Macaca mulatta: one gene and its partner. The protein of the gene in region 1 interacts with the protein of each later gene in a pairwise test. Links are inferred from orthologs where the notes say so. Each region holds a gene or a part of one and is shown in the gene's direction. Other genes may lie near its edges.

Region 1 (4,273 bases):
CTGCTGTGCTTCGCATTTGCCTTTCTCTAGTTTTGTTTTCTGTCTCTGTGTTTCTATAGGGACTGCTCTCAGCCCAGGTGTGCAGGAAGCACACACGTGCCTGCAGAGCCTTCACCATCTCTGCATCCAGGGACTGACTTCAACGCACAGTGGCTGTACTGATCCGCTAAAACAAAGGAACAAATTACTTCTTCTAATTCACAGGGAAGTTCCAGGTTGTACGGGTGGTGAGGAGCCTTGTGTCTGTCTGCGCTTGCCGTGGTGAAAAACCCACCGTTCAGGCTGCAGGGCGTGAAACCCAGGCACAAACACTTCGCTGGATGCGGAGGAAAGATGCAAGGTTGCTCCCCTTCAGAGACAGCAAAGGGCAGATCTGTAGCTCTACTTACTTCAGGATTATGATTTTTGACAGAGCCGGGAGATCAGGGTTGTTGAACCAGGCCTGAAGGTCCTAGTGAATCTCGTGAAGAGAGGAGGGGTCTGACTGTAACATGGACCTAGAGGACATTCTTACTGCAGGAGAAGCAACAGTGGGGATGGGGTGGACTTGCCAAAGGAATGTAGCTCAAGTTCCTGCAGCCTAAAGCAGCTCAGTTTCTTTCGGCCAAACTTTCGCGAACTTCCCTGGCATTTCTCCTGCGGGAGCTACCGGTGCAGTGGGACACTTAGCCTCTCTAAAAGCATCTCCACAGCTGTTTGTGTCAAGCCTTTATTCCAAGAGCCTCACTTTTGCGAAGTAACGTGCTTCACACATTGGCTTCAAAGTACCCACGGCCGGTTGCAGTAAACATTGAGGAGGCCTGTCTCTGCGCCCAAAGTTGGGTGCTCTCATTTCAGACGATTTCTAGGGTGCTTCACGGGATCTGAAGGACCCTCGGACTTTAGAGCACCACCTCGGACGCCTGGCACCCCTGCCGCGCGGGCACAGCGACCTCCTCAGCTGCCAGGCCAGCCTCTGATCCCCGCGAGGGTCCCTGGGTGCTGCAGGGGAGGTGGGGACCAGAATAAAGGAGCAGTTTCCCCGTCGGTGCCATTATTCGACGCTGGCTCTAGGGCTCGGCCAGTCTGTCTAAAGCTGGTAGAAGTTTGTTCTGTAAAACAAAAGAAGGGAAAGGGGGAAGGGGACCCTGGCACAGATTTGGCTCGACCTCGACATAGGCTGGGCCTGCAAGTCTGCGGGGACCCAGTCCAGAGGGGCAGTGCTGTGAACGCCCCTCACGGAAATTAACTCCTCAGGGCACCCGCTCCCCTCCCGCGCGCCACCCCCTTCCCGCGGGAGACCGGGTCCCGCGGGGGTCACCGCTGTCCACCGCCTCCGGCGGCCGCTGGCCTTGGGTCCCCGCGGCTGGTTCTCCTCCCTCCTCCTCTCATTCTCCTCCTCCTCTGCTCCTCCCGATCCCTCCTCCGCCGCCTGGTCCCTCCTCCTCCCGCCCTGCCTCCCCGCGCCCCGGCCCGCGCGAGCTAGACGTCCGGGCAGCCCCCGGCGCAGCGCGGCCGCAGCAGCCTCCGCCCCCGGCACGGTGTGCGCGCCCGCCGCGGCCAAAGCGGCCGGAGTCCCGAGCTAGCCCCGGCGGCCGCCGCCGCCCAGACCGGACGACAGGCCACCTCGTCGGCGTCCGCCCGAGTCCCCGCCTCGCCGCTAACGCCACAACCACCGCGCACGGCCGCCTGACTCCGTCCACTATTGATCCGGAGAGCCGGAGCTTGCTCTTCGGGGAGCAGCTATGCGACCCTCCGGGACGGCCGGGGCCGCGCTCCTGGCGCTGCTGGCTGCGCTCTGCCCCGCGAGTCGGGCTCTGGAGGAAAAGAAAGGTAAGGGCGTGTCTCGCCGGCTCCCGCGCTGCCCCCGGATCGCGCCCCGGACCCCGCAGCCAGCCCAGCCGCGCACCGGCGCACCGGCTCGGCGCCCGCGCCCCCGCCCGTCCTTTCCTGTTTCCTTGAGATCAGCTGCGCCGCCGGCCGGGACCGCGGGAGGAACGGGACGTTTCGTTCTTGGGCCAGGAGAGTCTGGGGCGGGCGGGGGAGGAGACGCGTGGGGCACTGGGCTGCGGGCCGGCGGGGAAACGGCCGCCTGGACCTCCGGCGCCCCGAACCGCTCCCAACTTTCCACCCTCACTTTCCCCGCCCCGCTGCGCGGAATCGGCGTCAGTGGGCGAAAGCCCCGTGCGGGTGGGTGCCTGGGGCCGGGGTCCCGCACGTGCGCCCCGCGCTGTCTTCCCAGGGCGCGGCGGGGTCGCGGCGCGCACCCGAGGGACTGGCGCTGCCCACCCGCCGAGGCTGCGCTGTTTAGGGAAGCTGAGGAAGGACCCCGAAAATAAAGCCTCCCTTCGGACCCCGCGGGACAGGCGGCTTCCTGAGCGAACCTCCCTGCCTCCGCGCTCCGCGCAGGTCTCAAACTGAAGCCGGAGCCGGCCAGCCTGACCCCGGCCCCTCTCCAGGTCCCCGCGATCCTCGTTCCCAGGTGTGGAGTCGCAGCCTCAACCTGGGAGCTGGGAGAAGTCCGCCACCACCTGCGGCGCCTGGGAAGGGGTGGTGCTGGCGGCGGTTAACTTCCTCGTTGGCAAAAGGCAGGTGGGGTCCGACCCGCCCCTTGGGCGCAGACCCCGGCCGCTCGCCTCACCCGGCGCGCCCTCGTCTTGCCGGTCCAGGTATGCCCCCCACCTCCTGGGGACCCGAGCTCCCTCCCGGGCGCCGGCGCAGAAAGGCCCGGGCTCTCGTTCGGTGGCCGCCTCGCGGGGACGTCCGGGTCTGCCCCACCTGCAGCCCTTCGGTCGCGCCTGGGCTTCGCGGTGGAGGGGGACGCGGCTGTCCGGCCACTGCTGGGGGGATCGCGGCCTCTAGTGCGGAAGCCCAGGAAGCAGAGCTCATCCTGGCCAGCACCACGGTGTTTCAAAATGGGGCTCACAGCAAAGTTTTCTCCTCAAAACCCGGAGAGTTTCTTTCTTGGATGTTTCTTTTTGCTGTCTGAAGAATTTGACATTGAGCCAACCAAAATATTAAACCTGTCTTACACACACACACACACACACACACACACACACACACACACACCGGATTGATGTCCCTGGTTCAAGTGTGCCAAGTGTCCAGACAGAACATGAGCGAGTCTGGCTTCGTGACTACTGACCATAAACCCACTTGACACGGGAAACATGCCTCGGAAGGTTTAATTGCACAATTCCAACCTTGAGCTGCGCGGGTTCCAAGAGCCAGGCCCGTACTTGCTGTTGATGTCACTGGCATGGGGAGTTGGGGTTTGGTGCCCAGCGCGGTCGTTGGGGGAGGGGCAAGACATAGAACAGTGGTTCCCAGACCTTGCTGCACGTTAGAATTACCTGGGATTAAAAAAAAAAAAAATCAAAACAAAAACCAGTGTCTGAATCCCGCCCCCAGACATTCTGATTTAATTGGCATGGGGCAAGACCTGGACATGGGATTTTTTTTTTAATGCTTTTCATGTGATCTGTTGGGGAGCCAGGTTTGGGGATCACCGGACGGAAGAAGGATTGTTAAAGTCTCCGGAGAGATTACTTGCCAATGCAAAGAGCTCTTTGAGGACATCTGGAATTTTAACAATGTTGCCAAATATAGGAAAGAGGGAAAAGGTGGGGTGTGGTTCCAATAATAAAAGATTCCTCTTTTCATTGAAGGAACTGGTGGAAAGGTTTCTTCTCTGCTGAGCTTGCAGGGCCCCTCCTGCCTGCTTGGGGGCTGACTGCGGGTCCTGTTAGTCAGGTGTCAGCCCTGTCTCTGCTGAAGAGACTCTTCTCTTTATTTTAAATTAAACCCTCAGAGCACCTCCAAAGCATCACTTTTCTCCCTCCAGTGGGGTTCTCATTCTTTGATGTTACTTGCTTGAACACCACTGTTAGTGATTGGAGATTTGTTCCTGAGAAAAATATAAATACCACTTAATTTGCCTGTTTATCCCGTATTCACTCAAAACAGAAACTCCTGAAGACAGAGAGAGTAGGTGAACAGGCGCTATTCTGTTACAGTAACATAAAAGACTGAATTTTCAGGGGCAAATTATTAAAGTAGGAGATGAGCTCTTTTAACAGAAATTTGTTTGAGACCTGTGTCTATCAAATTCAGTCGATTTTATTCAAGATGCACTTTGTTTAGTAAGGGTTTTGTTTGGTTCTGGGACATGCTAACTTCTGGACTTGCTGCTCTTAGACGTAATGACTGCCAGACACCGTTTCATGCGTCCTAATCCCCACATTAAGCATAAGAGGTGTACACTCTCCTCCTATGGGGGAAACTGAGGTAC
Region 2 (3,644 bases), on another chromosome or scaffold:
ATTAATGTCACATCATACCCCAGATGTCCACCGTGTTTGTCTTCAAGTGGTAGAATCGTGGCTTTATTTCTCACGTTCTCTAAAATGAACATATACATAATTGAAAAAAAAAAACTAACATTTTTTAAAAAGCAGCCAAGGTCACCAATATGGTGAAACCCCGTCTCTACTAAAAATACAAAAATTAGCTGGGCGTGGTGGCGGACGCCTGTAGTCCCAGCTACTCGGGAGGCTGAGGCAGGAGAATCGCCTGAACCCGGGAGGCAGAGATTGCCGTGAGCCGAGATGGCGCCACTGCACTCCCGCCTGGGCAACAGAACGAGACTCCGTCAGAAAAAAAAAAAAAAAAAAAAGCAGCCAAGGCCAGTAGCTGGCTCTCTAGGGCCGCAGTGCAGCTTGATCTGACCCGGAGCCACCCTTCCCCACACAAGGTCACTTCCGATCGAGGCCGGGTGGACGGAGGGGTGTCCCAGTCCCTACCGGTTGCTCAGGGTGCTGGTCCCCGCTCTTCCCCACCAGCATGAGTGAGGACGCAGCTGCAGCAGGACGTAAGCGCAAACTCGTGTTCGGAGTGCTGCGCTCACCTGTGGAGCGGAGGAGGGGAGGCCTGGGTCCTCGGCTGGCGTGCGGTGTGCGCCCCGCTCTGACCGCAGAGCCCCCTTCCCGAGAAAGGCGGCTGGCCCGGTCCCGGCTGGCGATCACGCGGGGCCCCTGTCTGCTTGGTGCGCAGGTGAGGGTCTGCCCTTCCGCTGCGCCCCGGACAGCCTGGAGGTGAGCACGCGCTGGGCCCTGGACCGCGAGCAGCGGGAGAAGTACGAGCTGGTGGCCGTGTGCACCGTGCACGCTGGCGCGCGCGAGGAGGTGGTAATGGTGCCCTTCCCGGTGACCGTGTACGACGAGGACGACTCGGCGCCCACATTCCCCGCGGGCGTCGACACCGCCAGCGCCGTGGTGGAGTTCAAGCGGAAGGAGGTGCTTGTTCGCGCGTGCTGTGGTCTACCCAGTGTCTGTCTCCCGCCGCAGTTCGTTTCTCTGTCAGTTTAGTGTCCGTGTAGCCACCCAATCATGTGGCCGACCATTCACGCGTTCATTTGTCCTTCGTCTCCGTCGGCCCCCTCTGTCCTAGGGGGAGGAGAAGGGGGAGTCCTGTCAGCACCCAGCGGGGCCTTGCCTTGGGAGGCTGGGAACCCTGGGTGCCCAGTCTGGGACTGACCAGGATGAGGCCCGAGGGCTCGCGACTGGGGCACACTTGTGCCGCTGCAGGCGGGCGCGGCGCGCTGCCCGGGCGGGGAGCATCTGCCGGGAGGGCACTCCCTCCCACCAGCAGTCAGCCCCCAATGGGAGGGCCATTGAGTGACCAGGAGCGGTGCCGGGGATTGGAAAGGGACAGGAAGGCGGATCGCCGCCTGCCCGGCCCCGCCCCGCCCCTCTCCGGTTCGCGCTGATGGAGCGCCACCGCCACCTGCTGAGCCTCAGGCCTTCCTGCAACCGGCCCACTCCGCCGGGGCCGTGGGAGAGTGGGCGTGGGGACTGAGGTAGTGCGTTACCTTGTGCCGCTTCTCTGGGCACACCACGTGCAGGTTTGGCAGGGAAAGGAGGTCTGACCGAAAGTACACATTGTGAGTAAAGGCTGTGTGGGCCTCCCTGGGCCGCCTAGGGGTGACAGCAGAGGCCTGGTGCGCAGAGCCATCCCAGGTGCCCCGCGGCTTTCCTCACAACCCCCTCCAGCCTGGGGGAGGAGGATGCTTCGAGCAGAGTGCTTTGATGTACACCTGGCCTCGGATCTCGGCTCTGCTATCTGTTCCTGTGTGACCTTGACCTGACCTTCACCCTGTAGGGCCCAGCTTCCTCAGGGGAGAGTGGAGGTGCTCATTCTGCTCTCTAGGGACCTTGATGGGACCTGCCAGCAGGGTGCCTGGGCATCAGCTGTAATTCTCCCTATAAGAGGTCTACATTGCACCTGTTACACAGAGGGTCAGTGGCTCAAGGAAGGTGACTGGGCCAGGCTGGCCAGTGACCCCGTGGGAACTTGAATCTAGGTCAGACAGTCCCCATACCTGGCTCTGACAACGCACACCTGGTCCACCTGTGGGCTGCGTGGGACGTGCAGCATCCTGAGGTCTCTGGTTTTGGGGGGTCTGAGGGGCCACTCTCACCTGCACTGACCAACGCCCTCTGCATCCTGCAGGACACTGTAGTGGCCACTCTGCGTGTCTTCGATGCAGACGTGGTACCTGCGTCAGGGGAGCTGGTGAGGCGGTACACAAGCACGCTGCTCCCCGGGGACACCTGGACCCAGCAGACCTTCCGGGTGGAGCACTGGCCCAACGAGACCTCAGTCCAGGCCAACGGCAGCTTCGTGCGGGCGACCGTACATGACTATAGTAAGAGGGGCTGGTGGCATGGCCTGGCTGGGCCCCCAGGAAATGAAGTGCTCGTTCTTCATGGGCAAGCAGCACCCCACACACATGCACACCTGTCATGGCCCTCAGTGGCCCAAGCCACTTCCCCTCCACCCTCTTCGAAGCACTTCCTGTGTCTCTGCCAGGCCTGCCCTCCAGCCACCAGCAGGGCTTTCACCATGGGTCCTCTCTCCCTGAGCTGCACCATGGCCGACCCTGGCAGGGCCCTACCACACCCCCATGCTAACCTCGCCAGGGCTCACCACTGATTGCAAACATACATGTCACCTGAGGCTTTCCTCCCGCCCCTGGCACTCCATCATTGCCCCTAAGGTATCTCAAATGCTTAGGGATTATTGCTCCAGCCTTATCAGCTCTCTGCTAAACAGTCTGGTATACAGAAGCAGCCCTGAGCCAGGTCAGGGCTTCTGAGCCCATTGTCCTGCCTGACTCCTGACATGTGCCACCATGCTCACCTGCTTGCAGGGCACCTTTCAGCTGAGGCCTTGCTTCCTGCCTCCCTCCCCCACCTCCTGCTGATTTCTCCTGGGATCGCCTTCCAAATAAACCACCTGCATTTGGGGTCTGTGTCTGGGGGAACCCCGGGCCATGGGTCCTTCGCCCCTTTCTGCCTGGCCTGGTCCTGTTCATTCCTCAGTCCTCCCCACCTCACCAAGCCTATGGACGCCCCACCTGTCAGAAGGGAGACAGCCTCCTTGCCCTGGCACTGAACACCCTGTCTGCCAGAGTGCCCCTCCCATCATTGTTTCCACCGCATGAGAACTAGAGCGGCAGCACGCGGCAGGTACACGGACGGCATGACTTCCAAGGCTTGGCCTGCAGGGTCATTGGGTCTGCTGGAGGCTCCTGCAGTGGAGGGGAGTTCTCCCATGCTCTGGGGAAGCTGTTTGGAGGGCTCTAGCATGTTCTTCCCAGGGCCTTGGTAATGCAGACCTTTAAGCCCCCATGTCACACACACACATACACACACACACACACACACACATACACACACCCTGTTACCCCCAAAAAACGAAACTCTGTAAAACATTTTAAAGAGGTTTATTCTGAGCCAGGATGAGTGACCACAGCCTGGAGAAAACACAAACCCAAGAAACCTTGAGTAAGTGGTCCCCAGGTCCAAGGTGGTGGGGTTACAGTTTGCTTTTATACATTTTAGGGAGACAGGAGTTATAACCAAGGACATAAATCAACACTTGGAAGGTATGCATTGGTTTGGCC

The links. The genes of interacting proteins can lie anywhere in the genome.
Region 2: the proteins of EGFR (region 1) and RET interact in a protein complementation assay, tested with the Homo sapiens proteins (3 studies listed by BioGRID and IntAct, with this or other methods). The link is inferred for Macaca mulatta from reciprocal best matches to the Homo sapiens genes EGFR and RET.

Annotation. Positions count from the first base shown.
Region 1 is NC_133408.1:73,468,105-73,472,377, reverse strand, and holds the start of EGFR (epidermal growth factor receptor), read left to right. Parts: upstream 1-1,463; 5' UTR 1,464-1,724; coding exon 1,725-1,812; intron 1,813-1,951; exon of another isoform or gene 1,952-2,007; intron 2,008-2,363; exon of another isoform or gene 2,364-2,503; intron 2,504-4,273. UniProt on the Homo sapiens protein: Receptor tyrosine kinase binding ligands of the EGF family and activating several signaling cascades to convert extracellular cues into appropriate cellular responses.
Region 2 is NC_133414.1:55,566,757-55,570,400, forward strand, and holds part of RET (proto-oncogene tyrosine-protein kinase receptor Ret), read left to right. Parts: intron 1-730; coding exon 731-972; intron 973-2,188; coding exon 2,189-2,384; intron 2,385-3,644. UniProt on the Homo sapiens protein: Receptor tyrosine-protein kinase involved in numerous cellular mechanisms including cell proliferation, neuronal navigation, cell migration, and cell differentiation in response to glia cell line-derived growth family factors (GDNF, NRTN, ARTN, PSPN and GDF15).